Linked DNA regions of Canis lupus familiaris. The protein of the gene in region 4 interacts with the protein of the main gene of each other region in a pairwise test. Links are inferred from orthologs where the notes say so. Each region holds a gene or a part of one and is shown on either strand. Other genes may lie near its edges.

What was found.
Region 1: the proteins of ARID5A (region 4) and CKS1B interact in binary tests that used the Homo sapiens proteins (3 or more experiments, as listed by UniProt). The two-hybrid records come from large-scale screens. The link is inferred for Canis lupus familiaris from reciprocal best matches to the Homo sapiens genes ARID5A and CKS1B.
Region 2: the proteins of ARID5A (region 4) and SOX5 interact in a two-hybrid assay, tested with the Homo sapiens proteins (2 studies listed by BioGRID and IntAct). The two-hybrid records come from large-scale screens. The link is inferred for Canis lupus familiaris from reciprocal best matches to the Homo sapiens genes ARID5A and SOX5.
Region 3: the proteins of ARID5A (region 4) and RBPMS interact in binary tests that used the Homo sapiens proteins (3 or more experiments, as listed by UniProt). The two-hybrid records come from large-scale screens. The link is inferred for Canis lupus familiaris from reciprocal best matches to the Homo sapiens genes ARID5A and RBPMS.
Region 5: the proteins of ARID5A (region 4) and DAZAP2 interact in binary tests that used the Homo sapiens proteins (3 or more experiments, as listed by UniProt). The two-hybrid records come from large-scale screens. The link is inferred for Canis lupus familiaris from reciprocal best matches to the Homo sapiens genes ARID5A and DAZAP2.
Region 6: the proteins of ARID5A (region 4) and PNMA1 interact in binary tests that used the Homo sapiens proteins (3 or more experiments, as listed by UniProt). The two-hybrid records come from large-scale screens. The link is inferred for Canis lupus familiaris from reciprocal best matches to the Homo sapiens genes ARID5A and PNMA1.

What each region holds. Positions count from the first base shown.
Region 1 is NC_049228.1:42,484,136-42,488,226, forward strand, and holds the start of CKS1B (cyclin-dependent kinases regulatory subunit 1), read right to left. Parts: upstream 2,801-4,091; 5' UTR 2,703-2,800; coding exon 2,644-2,702; intron 1,238-2,643; coding exon 1,110-1,237; intron 299-1,109; coding exon 246-298; 3' UTR 1-245.
Region 2 is NC_049248.1:23,356,332-23,360,628, forward strand, and holds the start of SOX5 (transcription factor SOX-5), read right to left. Parts: upstream 2,801-4,297; 5' UTR 2,655-2,800; coding exon 2,576-2,654; intron 1-2,575.
Region 3 is NC_049237.1:34,777,312-34,781,499, forward strand, and holds the start of RBPMS (RNA-binding protein with multiple splicing), read right to left. Parts: upstream 2,801-4,188; 5' UTR 2,519-2,800; intron 2,421-2,518; 5' UTR 2,282-2,420; intron 1,195-2,281; 5' UTR 939-1,194; coding exon 873-938; intron 408-872; exon of another isoform or gene 393-407; coding exon of another isoform or gene 369-392; intron 1-368.
Region 4 is NC_049238.1:34,496,492-34,499,991, reverse strand, and holds part of ARID5A (AT-rich interactive domain-containing protein 5A), read left to right. Parts: intron 1-293; coding exon 294-432; intron 433-789; coding exon 790-842; intron 843-1,334; coding exon 1,335-1,432; intron 1,433-1,643; coding exon 1,644-1,803; intron 1,804-2,210; coding exon 2,211-3,449; 3' UTR 3,450-3,500. UniProt on the Homo sapiens protein: DNA-binding protein that may regulate transcription and act as a repressor by binding to AT-rich stretches in the promoter region of target genes.
Region 5 is NC_049248.1:43,029,625-43,033,769, reverse strand, and holds the start of DAZAP2 (DAZ-associated protein 2), read right to left. Parts: upstream 2,801-4,145; 5' UTR 2,660-2,800; coding exon 2,647-2,659; intron 1,609-2,646; coding exon 1,490-1,608; intron 1,061-1,489; coding exon 892-1,060; coding exon of another isoform or gene 815-891; intron 1-814. UniProt on the Homo sapiens protein: In unstressed cells, promotes SIAH1-mediated polyubiquitination and degradation of the serine/threonine-protein kinase HIPK2, probably by acting as a loading factor that potentiates complex formation between HIPK2 and ubiquitin ligase SIAH1.
Region 6 is NC_049229.1:47,276,435-47,280,223, reverse strand, and holds PNMA1 (paraneoplastic antigen Ma1), read left to right. Parts: upstream 1-1,163; 5' UTR 1,164-1,417; coding exon 1,418-2,479; 3' UTR 2,480-3,289; downstream 3,290-3,789.

The DNA.
Region 1 (4,091 bases), on a different chromosome or scaffold from region 4:
TACCAAGTGTGCTCTGCTGGGTACACAGCTCAGCTGAGGCTGCAGCCCAAAGAGCACTCAACTGGCCGGGCCATGGTGCTGTTGGCTCTGCTCAAGCAAAACAGTCAGCAGCACAAACAGTGTACTGAACATCCTTTAAATATCAAAGTGAGAAAACAAGAAGGCAACATAATGATGTTATCAGGAAGATGTTAGCAAGCGACGACAGCTGTGTAAAGCTTGAGGCTGGAAAGTGGCTGCCAGCTTCATTTCTTCGGCTTCTTGGGCAGTGGCCGTCGGAACAACAAGATGTGAGGTTCTGAAAGAGTGACATTGAAGAGACACGCTCACCCTGGTCTCTGCAGTGTGTAGTGCGTCCCCTTCCCATTTCAGACCTTTAGAACTACATTAAGATGTAAGCATATGGCCTCAGAAGCAGACCCTAAAGCTGGGCCTGTCTGCTAAGCAGAGAACTATTAGCATCAGTTCCTTTGCTGTGTTTGTACAGCCCCCCCATCCCCTGCCCACCTCCTTTATTAGATTTGCCTGGCTGCTTGTGGGTCTGGTGTCTTATCAAGAAATATACTTCCCTTGGCTTATTTGGGACACATCTGAGAATTTGCTTTCTCATGGAGAATGATGCAGGATCCATAACCTCTACCAGGGTGTTTGTGGCCTTAAAAAGGGTGACGGGTGTGTGTGTGTGATGCTCAGACTGAATTAGAGATTGAAAGAGTTTTTTCAGGGACAGGTTGTCTTCTGAACTTCCCAGTACTTGACTCTTTTTTGTCACTCTGATTTTTAAAAAAAATTTTTTTTAAAATTTATTTATGATAGTCACACAGAAAGAGAGAGAGAGGCAGAGACATAGGCAGAGGGAGAAGCAGGCTCCATGCACCGGGAGCCCGACGTGGGATTCGATCCTGAGTCTCCAGGATCGCGCCCTGGGCCAAAGGCAGGCGCTAAACTGCTGCACCACCCAGGGATCCCATCACTCTGATTTTTCTAGGTGGCTGGTGAGGAACCAATAGACCACCCTCACCTCTATTTCTTTGGGTTATACCATCTTATCATTCCTCTTTTCCTCAGCCAAGGAGCCCTAAATGGTTGTTTTCAGCCATCGCACCGACCTGGTTCATGGATCATATAATGGACCCATCCCTGACTCTGCTGAACTCCAAGATTCCTCCATTCAGATTCAGACATCAGATGGGTTTTAGGGACCAGCTTGGCTATGTCCTTGGGCAACATGACATGCCTGTAACAGAAACACGGAGGGATCACATCAGTACTGGGTGCAGTTGTGTTAGACAAATGCTTGTGTACAAAGCCAAGAGAGCAAAGAAAAGAAAAAATTGGTTCCCAATGGGAGAGTTTATGTACTCTTATCATGGGGCAGAGGCAGCTAGAAATAAAGGCCAGATTATGCAAATCGTCCCCCCAAGTATGTTAAAAAGCACGCGTGAGTAACTCAAGTGAACAGGCGCTGTGGACACCGCGCCCCTGCCTTCCTCCAGCTCAGTCTGCTAGCTGATTAGAACGATCTAAGGGCAGCCCCACGACACTCACAGCGTTAATTATTAAAGGTAGTTTTGAAAACGGCTGGTTTTGTGGAGAAGAAAGGCCTCTTGTGGAGCGCTGTGAGGAAGAGCCATCACAAGGATGAAATGTGAATATCTTCTCCTCTGAAATGTACCCTCCATTTCATTTTCCCAACTCTGAAAAGAGTTGCCATGAGACTCCTCTTGGGAAACCCCAGGTTTTCCTAACCAAGGATAAATCTCCTTTCATGGCAAAAAAAAAATCCTTACTCTCACCTGAGTTGGGCTACTCCAGATAGACCCCATCATGCTCAGGGAAAACACAGTAGGTGTGTACTAGTAGCAAATTCTTTCACAAACAGCGTCTTCGATCCCTAATCGGACCCGACCGACGCCCCCCAACGCCAGCGCCCGGACTTACAACTTCGGGGAGCTGAAACTAGCTCTGCAGAGGTGGCAGCGCACAGTCAGCGGCGGAAAGAAACCTAAGTGGCCTGGGTCCCCCAAGGGTCAGCACACGCCGAGTCCCCGGAGCCCCGCACTTGGCCGGGAAGGAAACGCAAGCCTGCCAAGTCTCCATCCCACGTTCTTCCAGGAAGAAGCCAAAACGGCACGCGGGCAGCATCCTCGCTCTTCCCTGGTACTCCTCCTGGAGGGGCGGCGCTGCCTCCGTCACACCGTGCCCGGGCGCAACTCCCGAGCCTGCGGCGCTGCGTCGCCGGGTCAGACCTTCCCACGAGCCGCACGCCCGCGCCCCCTTTCCCGGATCGTTCAGCACCGCTGCGGCCACTTCTTTCCAGCACGCCCCAGCGGGCAACCTCCACGTGCCCGGGGAAGCTCCCAGAACGATCCAGAACCCCGCATGGTGCGGGGTGCGGAGGCCTCGAGCTCTAGGCACGCCCCCTCCGCCCGCTCCCCGGCGCGGGACACACTGCGGTCCGCAGCTGTCCGCGCCCTCTCGCCGCCAGGCCCTCGCGCAGGCGCCCTGCTACGCTCCGCGCCCGCGCCCCGGGAGTCCCCCGCGCATGCGCCGGTCCTGTTGCTTCAGCCCCGGTGACTAACTCCTCTTGCCCTCACTTGTCAAAGTTCACGACCTCGTTATGGCCCCCGCGGCGGCACTAACCGGTACTCGAACTCCTCGTCGTCGTATTTGTCCGAATAGTAAATCTGTTTGTGCGACATGATCACTCAGCCTGAGGACCGTCAGGCCCACTCCGGCAACCTCCAAACAACTCCCAGCAGCACGCGCTCCCACCCACTTTGGCCTAGCTTTCAAACACGCCGCCCGCGCTTCCTATTGGACCCCATGGTTTAAGGCGGGACTACTCCACCTTCAAGCCGCCGATTGGTTTAGATTTGCTTCTGTTCGAGTCCTTATTGGACCGCGCTGCTTACGTTAGTCAAGAATGAGCGTAGGGAAAAAATATGCCTCTAATTGGCTATTCCTGCCCCCGTGCGCGTTCTCGCATTGCCATTGGCTGATTCGGCAAAGTGGGACGGCTGAAGGAGGGACGCTGAGGTAGAGGGTCAGGGGTTAGTGAGGCCGGAAGTGAGTGCAATAAAGTTTCTTCAGGGAGGCCAGGCCGGGGAGAAAGTTGGAACGGCGACCTAAGGAGGCAGTGGCGTGATCCGGAACCAAATCGAGCCGCGGTGCGGTGCGGAGACTCCATGAGGCCCTGGTGAGTTAGGTCTTCTCCCTCTCCTAAGGTGACCCATTCCTCCACCCCGGAACCCCTCTCCCGGGACCCTACTTCCGGTCTTCATGTGCAAGTCCCGCCCCCTGAGACCCCCCTCCCCGGAAGTCCCACCCCCATCTTCAGGGGGCTCCCCGAACCCCGACTTGTTTTCTGTGTATTGTCCACGACCCCACCCTGCTGCCCAGCTTTCCTGGAAGTCCCACCCCCGAACATGCTTCCAAGTCCGACTGTGAGAAACCTGACGGTAGTTCTCTGAGTTCCGATTCTTCGCCTTCTGGCGACGGGTCCCCCAGGAGGCCAGAGCCCCGCCCCTCCGAGGCCCGGCCGAGTGCCGGCAGCCCCGCCCCAGAGGCTACGCCTTCCGAGAGGCCCCGCCCCCCGCCTGATGGCGTCGGGCGGTGCTGTAGCCTCGCCTCTTACAGTGCCCGGTACCCGTGATGTGGGGCCCATTCCCCCTGGGCAGCGTCCAGAGTGGGGCGGGCTCCGCCCCTCGGAGCGCTGTGGTAGTCCCGAAGCCCCTTGCTGACACAGCTTCTCTTCTCCTTGGGCTTGGGGCTCAGCTCTGCGGAGCCAGTGCTTCTGCTCCAGCAGGTGGGGCGAGCCGGGCGAGGTCAGGGGCCGCCCTCCGCCTCCCTTGCCCCTCCCCCTGCCCCGCGGAGAGGGGCCTGGACTTGGGGTTTGGCGCCAAAGGGGCCGAGAGACTTGCTCCTGGGTTCCCAGCCCAGGACAGACTCCGCCCCAGAGACAGCTGTAGGGCTAGCACCCGCACCTCGGGAGCTGGTAGGGCCGTGAGGTTGGCGTGCAACCTGCGGGTGCACCAGGAGCTAGAGTGTCCTGCTGCCTGGAAACGGTGGCCTGGCGTGGGTGGAGGGGA
Region 2 (4,297 bases), on a different chromosome or scaffold from region 4:
CATGTGGCAGATCTGGGACTTGAACCTAAGACTGTCTGACATCATAATCCATTTTCTTTCTAATAGACAACATATACCTCTTCAAAATATAGCTGTCTCTGTATTAATTCCCCACTTCATTTTATTTTTAAGTATTTGCTAATGTGTCAAATAAAGTAATTATTAAAATCAGTTTACAGTGGGAAAAACATAAGAATTGGAGGCCACACCCCCGCTACCTATAACTACTCCCTTCTTCCTTTTATTTCTGTATAGCACTTACTATCTTTTTTTAAGATTTTATACATTTATTCATGAGAGACACAGAAAGAGAGGTAGAGACATAGGCAGAGGGAGAAGCAGGTTCCCTGCAGGAAGCCCAATGTGGGACTCCAGTAACATGCCCTGGGCTAAAAGTAGGCACTAAACTGCTGAGCCACCCAGGCATTCCTAGCACTTACTATCTCTAAAATTAGTTTGCTTTATGACCTTACCTATTTTCTTCATTACTTTACCTACTTTTCTTCATTACCTCTAGCACCTAGAACAGTGCCTAATTAAAGTTAAATACTTAGCAAATGAATAAATAAATGTATTCATAAGGACAGGTCAAAATTTGTCTCTTTACTAAGCTATGTATGACAGGCTTGACAAATCTACTAGCCTGTTAGCTTTTAAAGTCTCGTTTCTTTAATGGAAAACTGCCTAAGGTTTTTATAAGCTAAAATCCATTCATTCAAAAACTACTTATTGAGCACCTACTATATATCTTTATTATACTACAAATATTAGTAGTATAATATATACTACTATACTATATATACTATACTATATACTATATACTATATATATATACTATACTATACTACTATATTATATACTATAATAATATATATTATAATAAATAATAATTAGCAGAGTCTCTTCAACTGGGTAACCAAGAAAGAAGACATTTGAGTTAGGAGGTGAAGGAGTAAGACATGCATAGTGAGGAAAGAATTTTTCAGGCAGTGAGAATAGCATGTCAGAATGACTGTATTTTCAGAGTGGCTGTAATGCAGGGAATGAATGAGAATGAACAGGAAATTAGATCAGATATAAGGGAGAGTCAAAGATGGGTTGTGTAAGGCCTTGTAGGCCATTGTAATAATACTGGCTTTTATTCTCAGAAAAAAAAATAGCAGCCATTGAAGGGGTTTGAGCAAAAGTGGAACATTCTGTGACTTAGGTTTTTAATGGGCTCAGCACTTCTCAATGGGGTTGCTATTGGTATTTTGGGTAGGCAATTTCTCTTTGCCCTGACCATCAAGCCCATGGTTGATCATTTAGCATCTCTAAATCCCCAGACCTTCTGAACTAAAAATGCTCCCACTTATTTTCAGAGCTATGCTATAAATAGACTGAAGGTAGGTGTAAAGAGCCTATTTTGATATTCCAGGCAACAGCTGGCATTATCTTGAGCCAAATGGTAATGGTATAAATTCAGAATATATATTTTGGCAGATAGGATTTACCAGTGACATAGATACGGATGTGAGTGAAAGCTAGAAGTCAAAGGATGACTCCCAGGTATTTGGAATGGGCAAACAGGAGGGAGTTGCTATTCACTGAAGTTGTGAAACTGAATATGGATGAAGCCAATTTGTGAAGAAAGCAGGAATTCAGTCAAGACACATTAAGAACTACGATGTAAAAACAGATATATCTATATTTTATGGAAGAATTTTGTAAAATGGGGTAATGAGGACTACTGCTGAACTGAAGGATTTTGCTAGGATGTGTTTTATGAAGGTAAAGAGTTAAATATTAGATAAATGAATAAATGATTACTAATAATGAATAGTAATATATTAACCAGTTTAAGCAATCAGATTATGTCAAGAAAAGGGTTTTTTTTCCTTCTTTATAAAACTATAATCCAAAAGAATGAGTCTAATTGTGGAATTTCAAACGATAAATGGTGTGGAAGTAGGTAGGCTTTTAATGCTGTTAAAATCCCACCAGGCCCATATTGCATGGAGTAGATATCCTGCAGTGAGATTAGGCTCAGCCTTGGGAAAACAGTGGGTGCACTACTGTCCTGTACCTCATACTGACTAAGCACCATCGCTTCCAACACAGTAGAGTCAACAGTCAATAAGTGCGAACTTTTCCACATCCATAGGCAATTTAAGGATTTCAGAGGAAAAGCTTTATCTAAACATGGTTTAGACATTCTTTATCAGTTGAATTTAGTCATTCTTCCAGAGATGGAACAAATGATCTGAATTGACACAATGAACTAACTGATACACACAATTTAGAGTTGGTAAGAGGAAGTGTCCAATCGCATCACTGATGGAACTTTCCCCTAGAGACAGGATTCCACCTACCCATGAGTAGAAAAGTCTCATTTTGAACAGCAATGCTCATCATATAAACATGAAGTTTCCCTCCAAATGTGTTGAGTAACCAAACTCACATAGTCAGAAAAATTTCCTTCTCTTTGGATTTATGCGGCATTTATGAACATTCTATCACAATATGTTCTATTAATAGCCTCTATGATTTGATACAAGGGAAATATTTGTATTCAAAAAGAAGTCCTTGCACTCACATATACACAAGTACACTTTGCTTCCTTCAAAACATGGCATCATTTTCCAGACTGACTTGGCCTGTTGTGTGATACCCATCCTTTTTCGCTCTGTAACATTGGTGGAGGGGAAGGGGATGCAATGCTTCAGTCAAATTGTATCCCCAATCACCAGTTAGATAAAGAAGTTAGAAGGTTCATGCAAAGGTGGTTACTTGAACTGAAGTGGGAGGAATGTGATAAAGAAGTAGTAGTGGCAGACAGATGCCCCATGGGCTTCATATTGTTGTTTCACAGAAGGACATACTGTGTCATAATGAATTACCACTAATTTGAGCCAGCAGTACTGTTAGATTGAGCCCGGCAACCCAGAATGACAAACAGTGCCTGCAAGATCATCTAATGAGGGGACAAGGCTGCTCCAGTAGCACTGCTTCACTCAATTAGTGGACAAGGCTTTTAATGCCGCTCTGCACAACTAAAGCAATTTTGATTACTTAGAGCTAAGTCTCCATTTAGAATGTTTCGGAAGCTGAAACAGGGTTTCTTTCTTTTTTTTCCCTTTAATATAATTTATCTTGAGAGTATTTGAATGGTAATAAGCTATTTGAAAGCCAATCACATTATTTCCTATTTTTCCCTAAGTAATATTGAAATACATTTTTTTAAAGTTCAAATGATAGAATTTACTCTAGCAAATGAAATGTAAATAAGATAGCAAATGATTAAGGATATGCCGAGGGTGTGTGTGTGTATGTGCGTGTGTGTGTGTGTGTGTGTGTGCATGCGGGCACTATGTGTGTCTCTCTGTGCCAGAATTACAGTTGGTGAATTTCATTTCATCAGCCAACATTATCAGGAGGGTTGCATATTTATTCTATATATCCACATTTAAAAAAAAATTCCAGATCTTGCCTTCTTTGGCTGGGAGCACTTATATTTCATAGCTTTTGATATGGGGAACTGACGTTTCTACTTAGTTATTTTTTTTTTCACTATGTCACTGAATGATGAAAAGCACTCATATGTGTAATGGTACAACTTTCTTTAATATCGTGATCACTGACTTAGAACTAAACAGAGGCTATTTAGGCTTAGCAAATTCCTTTCATTCTCATTAGAAACACACAGGGTTCTTTATACATGGCTCTAGACATCTTCTGGCTTTCTATCTATGCAGTGTGTGTAATTCTCAGACTGCTAGCACTTTGTGAAATTCTATGAAATTTTGCCTATTTGAGTAGAAGGTCATTGAGTAAAAGGAACTAATCAAGTGCTAGACACAAAGTAGGTGCCAATAAATTTTTACTGAACTGACCACAAATTCTACACAGATAAAGAAAGTAAACCTCATGAGGTTCCTGGGTGGCTCAGTTGGTTAAGCACCTGCCTTCGGCTCAGGTCATGATCTCAGGGTCCTGGGTCCTGGGATTTGGCCCCACATTGGGCTTCCTGCAGTGGGGAGCCTGCTTCTCCCTCTCTTGCACCCCCCCCCCCGCGCTTGTGTTCTCTCTCTCTCTCTCTGTGTGTCAAGTAAATAAAATCTTAAGAGAGAAAGAAAAAAAAAACAAAAAGTTTAAAATTTTAACATTTGGCTCACTGGAAAACCCATAGTTAAATAAAATAACAATTTTCTTAATTCCAAAAAGGTTAGCTCCAAAGGCATGTTACACTTTCAAGGAGAGGATTATGTATTAATAGAAAATGGTACATTATTGGTATTGTTTTTCTAGTAAATAGAAA
Region 3 (4,188 bases), on a different chromosome or scaffold from region 4:
CAGCTATGGGAGAACTTAAAAAGCAGGCGAAACATGTACTGTTTCTTGGACTCCAGGTAACATACCTGCAGGAACAAAGCCACTTGAAAGAATACCACAAATATCCTAACTACAAAATTCTGAAACCGTCCGTTCAGGTGTTCCCTCCCACGGATAAATGGGGTTTCTACCCCAAGGAACGCTCCGCCGCCGCAACGTTTTTAACTTTGTTACGGACGCACCACATAAAATTCACGCTCAGGAGTCAAAGTGCTATTAAAACAGCCAAGATGATCTCTTGGCGAGTTGTAAACTCTCAAACTCTTTTATTCGGCTTCCCCCACCCCACCCCAGCCGCATCGCCCCTAAAATTTACAAACCCTAATCACCCAGATTCGAGGTCTTTGACTCATCAGAGAAGAATGCAGCTGATGAGTTATCTATTAATCCAGAATGCCTCAGCTGGAAAGAGATCGCACCGAGAACTTTTAACACTGAAAAGGGAGGGGGAGGGGGCAGGGAACTGAAGGTGTCTCCCCGCCGAGAACTTTCCCCGAGTTCCTTCCTTCCTCACGCCGCACGCACAAACACCCCCCACTCCCAGCCCCGGTCGCAGACTCGGTCCCGACCCTCTGGGTCCCAGGAACCGGAGGTCACCCGGGAGTCAGCTCTCGATTCCGCTTTTAAAATCCCACGCAGACAAAGCTGAGCATTATACTTAGCAAACTCCGAAAAGTCCTCAAAGTTACGCAACTTTAGAAACGCGCTCTGCGAAGAGACCCCCCCCGCCGCCCCCCCCCCGGCCCGGGGCCACAGGTCGCGGCGAGGGCCGTGCCCAGACCCCGGACTGCGGCGCCCAGGTCGTGCCCCCGCCGCAGCGAGCCCCCCGGTACCTCTTCCTCCTGAAGGTTGGCCTCGCTCGGGGTGTTCTCCTTCTCGGCTTTGCCGCCGTTGTTCATCTTCCCGGTCCTTCCTCGCCGGGCAGGGCTGGGGCGCGGGGCTGGGGCGAGGGCGCGCTCGCCCGCTTGTCCCTTCCCCGGGCGCCGGGGCTCCCTCGGGCGGGCGCCGCGGGCTGCGGGGGCTGGAGCCGGGGCAGCGGCGGCTCGGGCTCCGCGGCGAGGCGAGGCGAGGCGACCCAGGAAGTGCGCGGGAGACACGGGGCAGGGCGAGGCGCGGGCCGGCGGGGACGGAGACAATCGGGACCGGGAGGGAGACCTGGAGAGCGCGGGCGGGCGGGCGGGCGCGAGGGAAGGAAGGAAGGAAGGAAGAAAGGATGGGGCGCGGGCGCGCGTCCCAGGAGGGAGCCCAGAGAGTTGGGGATGTGGCCGCGTCGGGGCTGGGGGCGGCCGCTGCCCGAGCCTGGCGGGGGCCGGAGGGAGGGGGCGAGGGGTGCCCAGACCCGAGGAAGAGGAGGAGGAGGAGGAGGAGGAGGAGGAGGAGGTGCGGGGCGCGGCTGGGACGCTGGGACCCGGAGAGCCGCTGAGTGCGCGCTCCAGGCAGGCTCTGAGAAGTACGGGATCCAAGCAGCTCCCTTTCTCTCGCCCTCCTCCCTCCCCTCTCTCCTCCCCCTCCCCCTCCTCCTCCTCCTCCCTCCGCCCTCCCTAGACGTGGGCTGCCAGCTTCAGCCCGGAGGGACGGGACGCGGGACGCAGAAGCCCCCCTCGGGAGGAGGGGCCGCCCGCGGCCGGATGGCGCGCGCCGGGGAGGGGCGGGGGGCGGCGGGCGGAAGCGGCCGACCCCAGCCCCCCGACTCGGCGGGAGGTCGGAGGGCAGGGGCCGAGGCGGACGAGGGAGGGAGGCCAGGTCCTCCCGCTTCCCCGGCCCCCGGGGGCCCCCGGAGCTGGCGAGCTCGCGCGGCGGTGCGCGCCCGCTTGGAGAGGGGCTTCGGGGCGCCGGGCCGGGCCCGCGCGACGCCCGGGACGCGCCGTGGGCTACCGCCGTGGGGATCGCGCCCCCGTCGCTCAGCCTGCCCTGCCTCTGCAGCACCGGCTCAGACCTATTTCCTCCCTTCCTACTTGGCAGCTCGAAATGACAGGATGCGAGAGAACGAGCGAGGTCCGGGGGCAGCCGGCTCGGGGCCGGCGTTTCCAGGGCGCAGCTTCAAACCCACCTCCCACGCCGGGCCCTCCCAGGCTCTCAGCCCCGGCCTTCGCCCTCTGCTAGGCTTCGCGCCCCCCTCTGCTCAGGCCCCTCTCTCGGCCCTCAGCAGACCGTCCTGGAATTGCTTACCTGCCTGCCTCCCTCACCCTTCCGGGGGAGCCTCCCCACAACGCAACGCCAGCCTCACCGTGTCCTTGTTTACCTTGATAATCCCACGGCTAGTTAAATACGCTACCGGGTATACAGTAGGCACTCAATAAATACTTGTTGGCTAAGTGACTGTTGCTCACGGCGAGCCGAGCTGGAGGCCAACCCAGATGATCTTCGGAGGGTCAAAGCCCCTTAAGGAAGAAAAAGGGCTCAGCATTCTGGGAGGGGGGCACCCAGTACCTGTTTAAGCACCACGCGCCAGAGGACTGCCTGGGTTCCGTTTCCTCACCTGCGAAATGGGAGTAGTTATAGTTACCTCCCAGGGGGGTTGTAATTAGAGGAGATTATAGGTTGGTAGAGCTAGAGCACCCAGCACTCATTCCTGCCCGGTGTAAGTTTACAGAACAGGGAAACTAGCATTATTATTAAGGAAATTTCCATTTTCCCGGGGCCATAGAGAGCTTCTCCATTCCTGTATCATAAACACATAAATTTAAAAGGGCCTCTATCAGAAGATTCTCCCTCACTTCCCACGCCCAGGAATTCTCTCACACGACATGCTGTTCCTTTCCAGCACAGTACCAATCACAACTTCTATTTATTTGCTCGCTTCACTGTTTATCTTTCTCTGCTCTCCCCCCTCCCCGCCAGACATTCTTCACCCTGTACTGGTTTAAGTGCTGCTGGGGGTGGGGTGGAGGTGGGGGTGAAGATAAGGCTCCTGCTTCTAGGGAGTTTTAACTGGTGTTGTGGAGACGAGACACCCAAAACAACTCCATGGCCACATGATCAGCGATCCTGGTTCAAATAGCAGAAAGCAGAGAAAATACTTGTGTGACGAGCGTTGTGAAGAAAAACAGAGTGGTAATTCTTGCATTCACTTACTGGGGTTTTCTTGGGTTGGGGGTGGGGGAAGTCTGAAGCTTTTGATAAATAGGTTTAATTGCTGTCAGGATGTCATGTGCCTCTGTGGGGGGGGTGGGGGGAAAGCGTATCCTGGATGAAAATAAACCAAGAAACTGTTGAACTTGCAATGGAAGTTCAGAAGAGGCAAAGGCCACCACGATTAATCTGGAAATTTGGAGAGCCTTTCCAATCCCAGTCCCTCCCTCAATTACGTAAAGAACCACGAGGGGGCAATGTGTTCCTGAGCAATGGCTGCGTGGTGGTCTTGGGCCCCTGCGCCACCAATAAACACAGGCCCTTTGCCCTCCTGGGCCATTGCCAGGTACTGAATACACTCCACAGAAAGATATTGTCTTGCTGGAGCCTGGCAAAGGCCCAAGAAAAGTGACAGTTGATCTAGTCATTGATGATTCCAGTCAGACTCCACTTACAAGTCGGTGGAAGGTGCTGTATGATTCCAGGATGCTGCTGCTACCTCCGTCCAGGGAAATGTGGCCTAATTCCAAATGTAGAACCTGATTCTTTTGCCAGCACTTTGTCCATTGTTAAAAGTCAAAGACATCTGGCATAAAAAAAAAAAAATAAGGGCTAGAAGAAGATCTTTGTCTGATTTGATCGTTGTGTCCCCAATATCTAGACAGTGCCTAACACATAGTAGGCTCTCGGTGAATATTTTTGAATAAATGAACACAGTCTTATCAGAGATTGATTTTCAGCCTTGAATGACATCACATCTTTACAAAGCCCCTGCAGGAGGGACTGAATAAGTGGAAGTGTCTCAGCATAGGGAGCCACCACAAGGACACTAGGCAGATTCATGGTAGTAGTCTTTAGGCATTATTTTGCAGGGGAGACCCACCTAGATAGAGAGCTTGCTCAGAATGAGACAACTGATGAGATTTCAAAAATAAATAAAATTGCAGGTATTTGGATGGCTCAGTGGTTGAGCATCTGTTTTTGGCTCAGGTCATGATCCTGGGGTCCTGGGATCAAGTCCCGCATCAGCTCCCCTGCCTGCTTCTCCTTCTATGTCTCTGCCTCTCTCTCCGAGTC
Region 4 (3,500 bases):
CCTGGAGAGAGGCCTGGAGAAGCCGCAGGGCTGCTCCTATGGCCGTCTCTGGAGCCATTTCCATGGACCCTGAGCTGGCGTCCTGGGCACTAACAGCTGACAACTACCTCTCTGGTGCCAGAAACAGTCACTCCAGCCCAGAGCTGTCAACTGGGTGCTGGGGGCCTGCTCCCTCCCACGGGAGCCTGGGGTCGGGGACCACATACCTCCTTCCCCAGCAGGCAGTGGTTCCGTCTGTCCCCAGCCACCCACCAACTGGGGGCTCATCCCAATGCCTCCTGTTCTTTCCCCAGGACTCCCCCGAGGCAGGCGGGGAGCGGGAGGAGGACCAGGAGCGGGAGGAGGAGCAGGCCTTCCTGGTCAGCCTCTACAAGTTCATGAAGGAGCGACACACGCCCATCGAGAGGGTGCCCCATCTCGGCTTCAAGCAGAGTGCGTCCCTGGGTTGCAGGCAGGGAGGGGGAGCCCGGCAGGGGATTCCATCCAGGCAGGGTGTCATGCAGGCACCTCCACTCTGGGCAACCCTGGGCGATGCCAGCCCACAGGGCTTGCACACAGAAAGGGCACCCCCCACCCCAGGCACAGGGCTGCAGTGGGTGGGGCCGGACTTCTGTCCTCACTGGCCACTGGGCCCCCAGTGCTTAGGGCCTGGCCTAGCCACCCGTTGCCATGGCCCTGTCTGGGTGTGTGTTGGTTCTGTGCCTGCCTGACAGGTCCACGGGGATGGGCTGCTGGCTGCCCCTTCCTTCCGCAGAGACTGATGGGGGCCCTGCCCTCTCTCTTCTCTAGTTAACCTGTGGAAAATCTACAAAGCAGTGGAGAAGCTGGGGGCCTATGAGATGGTAAGGAGGGTATCTCAGTCCTCAGCATGTTGCATCCTGCAGCCCGTCCCCACTACCCTGTGGGGACCTGGGGAGGAAGAGCCTTGTCTGGGGACAGCGCTGTCCTCACTACCAGACAGGAGGAAGAGGCAGGGTCCCAGAGCCTGCCGCTTCCCCAGCTCTCCTGCATGCTGTGGGGAGGAGGGCCTGCCTGGCCCACTGGTACTTTGCTGCTTCAAGCAGGTTTTCCTGTCTTCCCATCTGTTCTGTCTTCCCCATGCTCCCCAAGCTGGGAACACTGCCCGGGCCAGCAGTCAGGCAGTGGCCCCTGGGGCCGGAGGACTGGCTAGTGGCCAGGGAGCCCCCTCCAGTCTCCCCACTGCTGCTGCCAGAGAGGCAGGTGCCAAACTGCGGTCCTTGCCCCCAGCCTTGCCAAGTGGGGACCTGGAGCGGCAGGGACCCCACCACCTGGGCGGCGTGTGCCTACCATGCACTCACGTGGTGCCCTTGCAGGTGACCGGCCGCCGCCTCTGGAAGAACGTGTATGACGAGCTGGGGGGCAGCCCGGGCAGCACCAGCGCAGCCACCTGCACACGCCGCCACTACGAGAGGTACGGCCGGGGTGAGACCTCAGGGTGGGGCACAGCCGCAGTGGGGCCAGGAGTGGGGTGCCCGAGGGGTGCGCTGTGCTTCCTCACCACCCAGAGCCCTGTGGGGTGGCTGGCCTGCTGCAGGCCTCCTGGATGACGTGGGGAAGGGCGCGGCCCTGGTGGCAAGTGGGCCAGGCCGGCCTCCCGGTGGACACGCTCTGCTCCTCCTCAGGCTGGTGCTCCCATATGTGCGGCACCTGAAGGGGGAGGACGACAAGCCACTGCCCCCTTCCAAGCCCAGGAAGCAATACAAGATGGCTAAGGAGCCTCGGGGGGATGATGGGACCACTGAGAAGCCGAAGAAGGCCAAGGAAGAGAAGCGGTTGGATCAGGTGAGCTCTGTGCCTGCCTGGGGCCACCAGCTGACCCTGGGCCTTCCTCCCCCTGCCCTTGCCAAGGCACAGAACTCCTTGCCCAGAATACCGAGAACACGCTCTGAGGGGCAGACCTGGGGTGGCAGGGGAGGGGGCTTTCCGGGGTAATGGTTGTGTAGGGTCAAATGAGGGGCCATGTCAGGTCTAAACTCCAGTCTGCCCCACAGTCACCAGGCCCCATGTCCTGGTACCAGGCTGCGTCCATTCAGAGGACGGGATACCTTTGGAAAACCTTCCACAAAGGCGCTGGAAGGGCTAGCAGAGGCTCTTGGGAATACCTCTGTGCCCCTGCTGCCATGGGGTCCCTAGGTCAGGATACACAGCTCGCACATCCAGCCCTGAGGCATGGCCTTTTCTCCTTCCAGATGGTGCCAGGAAAGATGAAAACAGATGCTGCCCCTGACCTGGCACGGCTTCCCAACCAGGAGGCCCCCAGGGAGGGCCCAGAACAGCCAGGCCCGGCCCTGGGGCCCTCTCCACCCTTTGGGGGTGCCAGCGGCTGCCCTGAGGCCTACAAGCGGCTCCTGTCCAGCTTCTACTGCAAAGGAACACATGGCATCATGTCACCACTGGCCAAAAAGAAGCTCCTGGCCCAAGTGAGCAAGGCAGAGGCCTTGCAGTGCCAGGAGGAGGGCTGTCGCCACGGGGTAGGCAGCCCTAATGGGGACCCCCAGGCATCCCCTGCCATTCTCCTGTCGGAAAGTCCTCAGAGCCCAGGAAAGCCAGCTGAGAACTCCAGGCACCGGCTAACCCCTCCGGAGGGGTTACAGGCCCCTGGTGGCAGCCTCAGGGAGGAGGCTCAAGTGGGTCCCCGCCTACCAGCCCCCATCTTCACTGGCTGTTTCCACGCATACCCCACTGAGGTGCTGAAGCCCGTCAGCCAGCACCCCCGGGACTTCTTCCCCAATTTTAAAGATGGGGTGCTATTGGGGCCCCCTGGCAAAGAGGAAGGCCTGGCAGTCAAAGAGCCCCAGCTGGTGTGGGGCGGGGATGCCAACCGCCCGTCTGCATTCCATAAAGGCAGCTCTAGAAAAGGCAGCCCCTACCCCAAGCCCAAAGCCTGCTGGGTGTCCCCGATGGCCAAGGCCCCTGCTGAGAGCCCTGTTCCCCTGTCTACCTTCCCTAGCAGCCCCGGCCTGGGTACCAAGCGCAGCCTGGAAGAAGAGGGCTTTGCCCATGGTGGCAAAAAACTGCGGGCAGTGTCTCCCTTTCTTAAGGAGGTGGACGCCAAGGAGTGTGGGGCCAAATCTATGGGGTCTGGTGTGGCCGTGTCCTGCCTGCTGGGCCCAGCGCTGGGGCCTGCCCTCCCTGAGGCCTACAGGGGCACCATGCTGCGGTGCCCACTGAACTTTGCTGGCACCCCGGACCACTTAAAGGGCCAGGCCACTCTCCCCTTCAGCCCCCTGGTCATCCCTGCCTTCCCGGCCCACTTCCTGGCCACTACAGGGCCCTCACCCATGGCCACAGGTCTGATGCACTTCCCCCCGTCATCCTTTGACAGTGCCCTTCGCCACAGACTTTGCCCAGCCTCGTCTGCATGGCATGTGCCACCTGCCACAACCTATGCAGCACCCCACTTTTTCCACCTCAACACCAAGCTTTAGGTTGGAGCTTGCAGTGCTGTGCTGTGCTATGCTGTGCGGGGTCTGAAGTGG
Region 5 (4,145 bases), on a different chromosome or scaffold from region 4:
GGGCAGAGGGCAGCTGAGACAAGGGAAGTGGACACACGTGAAACAGGATCCATTAGAAAGATGGCAGTGTCCTGACCAATCACATCTTAAAGCTAGTTCTGCCAACGTGGGTTGTAAAGCAGGTCTATATTCTCTGTGAACCCAAAGGTACAGACAGGAAAAGAGCCTACCACTCATTTAAAGGCATTCTCACCTCATTTCAGGTATATGGCTTTGAGGCAAGGACCACCTGGGCTCTAATTCTTATAGAGGGGGGAGCTAAGCAGGCAACATAACTAAAATCTCTAGTATCTTTCTAAATGCCACTTAATAGGGGACTATGCTTTCTTCATTTTTTTCAGGATTTTAAAAATTATTATTTTATTTAAATTCAAGTTGCCTACATATAACACACAGTGCTTATCTCATGTGTCTTTCTCCATTTTTACTCATCACGTTTTTCTTTTATCACGTTTCTTAATGGAATGCCATACTGAAGGCAAATTTGAAGTAAATGTTACAGGCTGAATAAGGAGTATTACTAGACCAGTACCAAAGTGGAACTGCAAAAGCAGCAGGCAGGACTCCTAATGCTTTAAAGAGGTATAGGAAAACAAAGGAATCTGGTTAACTCAGGCCCCAGGGAATGTGCCAGATGCTACTGACTTGCCACAGTTCTCCTGCCCCCTCAACTGCTTTCTGCCCAACTACTGGATGTCAGTGCTTATACCCATACCACAGCTATTACCCAGGGATGGTGAAAGGATGAATATGTAATCTCTTCAGAAAGTTAAACTACGTAAGAGCTGAGTTGTTCTGATAAGGTCATACTCACAGGAATGTTGCCAGCAGTAGCCCCCGCTCCAAATCTGGCACCTGCATCATACCCTCCTTCCACCAGCACTGCTGAACCAGGTGGATAGATGGGACCAACTGGATAATAAGCCATGGGGATTGTGGAACCTAAAGGTCCAACAGCCACAGATTGGGCCATGGGAAGATACAGTGAGGCGCCAGGAAATGCAGCTGACATGGTGGGGACCGTGGCAGCCCCCGGATGCACGAAGCTCGGACGATAGAGCTAGAAGAGAAGGCAACAGGTTACTTTATGACATTCCGATTTTAGATCCCTTCTACGCTCAATTCTTAATTGTCCTTGTGCAGATTACACTCTTGAGTTACACAAACTGCCTTTCCACTGCCACTCAGTACCCTCCTGCATCACTTCCTGCCATAGCTAACGTGAGGCTCAAGGAACGCAAGCTCATCTTCTTAACCTCACCCGGTGCCAAAAAAAAAAAAAAAAAAAAAACATGAAACAATCAGATGATGCAGTCTCAACCCCAACAGAAATTGCGCTGAAGTGTACAGTGTTTCAGACTATTCACGTGAGCCCTCCCTTCTCCTATTTACGGACACTGAATAGATATGCGTGGACTCAGGCTTATTAGCTAAGGACTGAAGATGTGACCCAAGAGCACTGGGTTCAAGTCTAGTAAACTGGAAGCACCTCTGAGTAGGCAGGTGGAGCATCAGTATAGGGTGGAGCCTGAGGGAGATGCAAGGTCTGAGGGTACACTGGGTTCCCAGGAGGCTGCACGGGATAGGTTGGCTGCGTTGGATATTGACCTGGAAGACAAGAAAGAAAAAAAGAAAAAAAAAGGAAAGAAAAAGAAAATGCATGTTGCCTACCACACAGAGCCACCAAAATGGGGCAGAGCATCCTGGGTAGCTGCCCTAGGGGCAGCAAGCTGGAGATGTGTAGACAGACCGCTCTGGGTGGTGGGGTGGGGGTGGGGGCTGATTTCTGGGGCCGAGAGAATATTCTCTTCGCACCCTTATCCCTACTCCTACCGGGGCAGTCCTCCCACTGGCACACCCGAGCTTCTCCATCGATGCAGGGCAGGTGTGGGGCCCCGTTCCTGCCCGTGCCCAACGGCAGGGACGCGCTGCCCCGGCTCCGGGTGGTCGCCACAGGCCTGGCTGGACCGAGCCGCGACCTCGTTGGGTCACGGAGGTTGCGGGTTATTTGCCCCGCCGCTTCCTACTCAAGGTCGCCTTCCGAATACAGCGCGCGATGGACGTGAGCCCTCGGGACCCGAGGGAGGATAACGGGAACCGTCCTGAGGCACAGCGGAGGACCGTGTGGGGCCCGACGCCGGCACAGTCCCAGGAGCCGGGGGCACTTCGGGCGGCCGCGCGAGGCACGCGGAGGGAGACCCCTCCGCCGCCCCCGGGCCCCCGGGCCCCGGGGCCCGCCCGCCGGCGCCGCACTGGTTAAGCCCGGGCGCCGGCCTCTGGTTCCGGAGCGCGAAGCCCCGCCCCCGCCGGCGCGCCATTGGCCGACCCGCATCCCTGCTCTAGCTCCCCATTTGCTCCCGCAGATGCCCATCATGACAAGCCTCCCCCCTGCACCCCCCCGCCCCTCCACCCGAGCCCGCAGCTCCAAACTGCGCCACAGAGTTTAAGGAGGAAAGGGCCGGGAAGCAGCGAGCAGCCGCAGTTCGGGGATGACGAAGGCGTCTGGCGCGGCCCCCGGGGCCGCAGCCGGCCGGGGAGGGAGGCGCAGCGCGCCCCAAGCCTCCGCTTGGCGACCCCGGGCTCCGGGCCCGCTCGCTCCAGGCTAGCACTGTCCCCCCGACGGCCCCGGCCGCCCCCTGCCCTTGCCTTTGCTGTTCATGGTGGCTGCGGGTCCGGTTCGGCTCGGCGTCGCGGACGGTTATTTTTTTCGTCCTCTTCCTGTTCGTAGTCACTTCCGTGTCACGTGACGGCCCGTCCGCCTCGCGTCACCCGACGCCCGAGCGCCGCCGCCACCGGAAGCCCCGCCCCTCCCGCGCGGCGTCCAGTAGCTGGAGGGCGGGCGCGCGTGGCCCCGCCCCCCCGGCGCGCGGCGGCCCCGCCCCTTGGGTCTCGCCCTCCCACCCCCACCCGCGTCCCACGACGGGAAGAAAACCGAATGCAGGTATTGTCTCCAAACACGGTTGTTGGCTTTTTTTTTTTTGGTTTTGCCTTTGTTTTTTCCGCCCCCCCCCCTCCTCTCTCTCTCTCTCTCTGGGGCGCTCGGGGGCAGAGCCGCTGAAGCCGCTCCCCGGAACCTGCTTCCACCTCTGCGCAGCAGCTCAAGGTGACCTCACCTGCGGAGCGCGGCGGCCCCGGCCCCGGCCCCGGCCCCTGGACTGCGCGGGCTGGCGGCGCCGTCAGTGGGTCCTGGCCGCCTTGCCCGTCCCGCCGGCAGGTGCCCGCCTGCACTTGCGTCGCTGCCCCTCTGCCCGAGGGAGGCCCCGCGCAGGGCCCGGCCTGCCGCCTCCTGTAGCCTCCCTCTCTCTCCCTTCGTCCCTACCCTCACTGTCCTTAAGGGCAGGGGTGCCACCCTCTAAGGCAGCAGTGCCCCGGGCAACCTTCATTTTAAGATACGCCGCCTCTGCGCAAGTACAGAGATGGAGCTAAACAAGACCTTTTTTTTTTTTTTTAAGATTTTTGTTTATTTGTTAACCAGAGACACAGAGACCCAGGCAGAGGGAGAAGCAGGCTCCATGCAGGGAGCCCAACGTGGGACTCGATTCCAGGACCCTGGGGTCATGCCCTGGGCCGAAGGCGGACGCCCAACCGTTGAGCCACCTGGGCTGCCCCACAAGACATTTTTAAAAAAAATATTTTATTTATTTATTTGAGAGAGAGAGAGTGCACCGGCAGAGGGATGGGCAAAGGAGAGAGAGAAGCAGACTCTCCGCCGAGCAGGGAGCCCCATGCAGGGGCTGCACATCCCAGGACCCCGGGATCATGACCTGAGCCCAATGCAGACGTTTAACCTGCTGAGACACCCAGGCGCCCCCAGCACAAGATGTTCTTTTTTTTTTCTTTTTTTTTTTTTTTTTTTTTTATTTATCCATCAGAGAGAAAGAGGCTCCATGCAGAGAGACCAACGTGGGATTCAATCCCAGGCCTCCAGGATCTCGCCCTGGGCTGAAGGAGCCATCCAGCTGCCCAGAACACAATGTTCTTTTTTTTTTTTTTAATTTTTTTTTTTAATTTTTTTTTTTTCTTTTTAAATTTATTTATTCATGATAGTCACACGGAGAGAGAGAGAGAGAGGCAGAGAGAGACACAGGCAGAGGGAGAAGCAGGCTCCATGCACCGGGAGCCCGATGTGGGATTCGATCCCGGGT
Region 6 (3,789 bases), on a different chromosome or scaffold from region 4:
AGAATTATATTATCTTTTAAACAAGGTGCTTTGTTAAAAAAAAAAAAAAAAATTTTTTTTAAGGGCACCTGGGTGGCTCAGTGTTTGACCTCCTGCCTTTGGCTCAGGTCAGGATCCTGGGGTCCTGGGATAGAGCCCCGCATGGGGCTCCCTGCAGGGAACCTGCTTCTCCCTCCGCCTCTGTCTCTGCCCACCCCTCATGAATAAATAAAATCTTTTTTAAAAAATGAAATAAAGGGCAGCCCGGGTGGCTCAGCGGTTTGGCGCCTGCCTTCGGCCCAGGGTGTGCTCCTCGAGTGCCAGGATTGAGTCCCGCGTCGGGCTCCCTGCGTGGAGCCTGCTTCTCCCTCTGCCTGTGTCACTGCCTCTCTTTCTGTGTCTCTCACGAATAAATAAAATCTTTTTTAAGAAATGAAATAAAAACTGGAAAATGTGAAAAAGGAAATGCGCCACCAAAGAGAGCAGTGTCCGGAGCGTCAGGCCAGCGCCTCTGCAACCGCCCCACCCCGCCCCCAGCCCCAACCCCGGGAGCGCGCGGAGCGGGCGGGAGTCCGGGCCGCCGTTGCCATGGCTACGCTCGGGGGCGGGGCGCGGAGGAAGCGGCTCCGCAGCCGGCCCCGCCCCGCACTGCGGCAGTAACGCCTCCGCGGGCTGCGGTGGGACCCCGGCGGCCCCGCTGCGCCACACCGCCGCAGCCCGCCGCAGCCTGCGCGCCGCCGCCGCCTGTGGCCCCGCTTCCCCGTCCTTCGGCGCCTCCGCCGCCCGTGTGCTCGGTCCTCAGCCGCCCTCACCGCCCGGAGCCATCCCTGCGTCTGCAAAGAAGCCGCTGGCGGGCTGGCGTGGCAGCCACCGCCGCGACCTCAGAACAGGCTCTGCCTCCGGGGACCGCACAGCCCTCGTCTGCAGAGCAGCCGCTCCTCGGCCGACTGGAGGCCGGGCTCCGGCCGCGGACGCCGGGATCGCCTCCGAGGGGAGCCCCGAGTGCCGGCGCCCGGCTGCCGGGAGGAGGCGGCCACGCCCCGCGACCACACCCGGGCGCCTCCGGCCCCGCGGCGCAGCCCTCGCCAGCCGCGCTCGCTGCCCGCCTCCTGCGCTGCGACGGGACGCGACCCCCGGCTGCAGGTGGGGGACCCGGGCCGCGGGCCCCGACTGAGGACGCCGGTGGCGGCGGACGCGTGAGGCGACTGCCCGAGCCTCCCGGGGCTTGGCTCCGGGGACCAGCCGGCGGACTGCCTTTGGGGGCCGCGAAGGAAGAGGGCAGGACTCTGGTGTCGTTTGTTAATTGTGATTGCGTCAAGCTTGCCTCCCTCGCGCCTACGGGGGTGGGGGGGTGTCTGCTGCCGCGCTGAGCCCTAGAGCGCAGGGAGCCACAGCCTAATCCGTCTTTGTAGAATCGGGGCCCTCGCTAGTTGGGGAAATGGCGATGACGCTGTTGGAAGACTGGTGCCGGGGGATGGATGTGAACTCCCAGAGAGCCCTGCTGGTCTGGGGGATCCCAGTGAACTGTGATGAGGCTGAAATCGAGGAGACCCTCCAGGCTGCGATGCCCCAGGTGCCCTATCGAGTGCTTGGGAGGATGTTTTGGAGGGAAGAGAATGCGAAAGCAGCCTTGTTAGAGCTCACTGGCGCTGTCGATTACGCCGCGATCCCCAGGGAGATGCCGGGTAAAGGAGGTGTCTGGAAAGTGGTCTTTAAACCCCCGACTTCCGATGCTGAATTTTTAGAAAGGTTGCACCTCTTCCTAGCGAGAGAGGGGTGGACCGTGCAAGATGTTGCCCGCGTCCTTGGGTTTCAGAACCCCACTCCGGCCCCGGGTCCAGATATGCCAGCAGAGATGCTAAACTATATTTTAGATAACGTTATTCAGCCTCTTGTTGAGTCCATATGGTACAAGAAGTTGACGCTGTTCTCGGGGAGGGACATCCCGGGGCCTGGGGAGGAGACCTTTGATCCCTGGCTGGAACACACTAATGAGGTCATAGAGGAGTGGCAGGTGTCTGATGTAGAAAAGAGGCGGCGGTTGATGGAGAGTCTTCGGGGCCCCGCCGCTGATGTCATCCGCATCCTCAAGACGAACAACCCTGCGATAACCACTGCCGAATGCCTGAAGGCGCTTGAGCAGGTGTTTGGGAGCGTCGAGAGCTCTAGGGATGCGCAGGTCAGATTTCTGAACACTTACCAGAACCCGGGAGAAAAGTTATCTGCGTATGTCATTCGTCTGGAGCCTCTTCTGCAGAAGGTGGTGGAGAAGGGGGCCATAGATAAAGATAACGTGAACCAGGCCCGCCTGGAGCAGGTCATTGCCGGGGCCAACCACAGCGGGGCCATCCGGAGGCAGCTGTGGCTGACCGGGGCCGCGGAAGGGCCTGCCCCTAACCTCTTCCAGTTGCTGGTGCAGATCCGCGAGGAGGAGGCCAAGGAGGAGGAGGAGGAGGCGGAGGCCGCCCTCCTGCAGTTAGGCTTGGAGGGGCACTTCTGAGGCCCAGGAAACGGCGACAGTGCACATCTAGATCGCAGCCGCTTACCTTGTCTCCGTGCTCTTACAGATGTGTCCCTAGTGGTAAAGACTTCCGCCATGTGCTGTTTTGGGGGTGGGGGTAGGGAGTCAGGCCTGAGTATTCATGTAACATTAGTACAATCGCGCAAATGAGCACCCTGAGCTGCTACAAGTGAGTCGTACTCGCTGCAATGCCAGGTAAAGACTTGTACACAAGTGCTCAGTGCCAGCTGTCATTGTGGCAATCATCCGTTGTAAAAACCATGTGAATCCCTGACACTTCTCATTGAGATAATTGTGAAATTGCATGTTCAGATGTTTTAGCGTGGGGCCTGGCAAACACAGGAAGTGTTCGGTAAAAATATGAGCCGTTGTTACTAATATTGTGAATAGTTTTTGTGTTTACAGTAAATTGTTCCTAAGTTTTTTCCCTAATTTATATTAATGGAAAGAAATGTGACTCATACTATTTATTCAGCCTTACAAAGCAAATTGTTTTATTTTTCATCTCGAAACATCTGGATCACTTTAATTGAAAAGTATTCTGAGACTATGGAATGGGATGTTAGAAAAATACTGCAATTCTAGAATTGTGTGAATCAATTTTTCTGTGTACAAGACACAGGGAGTGTCTTGTTGCATGGGGAGATTAATAAGAACCAGTTACAGTATCTATTCCCCCATTTCAAATCCTTGTCATTGAATGGTAGTTCTTGTTCATGCTGATTCTAAGTGTTCTAAATTTGAAGTTGTCAAAATACATGTATATGAATAAAAGTATTTAAAAAATTCTATTGTCTTTTTTTTCTGACACATATATAAAATTTCAGTGTAATTAAGCTCTATATTTATTCTCTTAGGAAGATTTCCTGGTGTCACTTAAAAAAAATATAACTTCAGTTACTGTATCTTTAACCTTATAGCATACTATTTGAGTTTGAATTACAGAACCTTTCAATGTATTCAATTTTTGCATGTTTTCTACAAGGCAAATATTAGAAGGCTGAACAGACCTAAGTCAATATTAACTTACTATAAAAAGTTAGGAAATCCTGAAATGGGGCTCAGGATGTTATCTAGTAATGCTTTTTCTCCCCTTTCAAATCCCTTTTCAGGGATCCCTGGGTGGCGCAGCGGTTTGGCGCCTGCCTTTGGCCCAGGGCGGGATCCTGGAGACCCGGGATCGAATCCCACGTCGGGCTCCTGGTGCATGGAGCCTGCTTCTCCCTCTGCCTGTGTCTCTGCCTCTCTCTATCTCTCTCTCTGTGACTATCATAAAAAAAATAAAAACC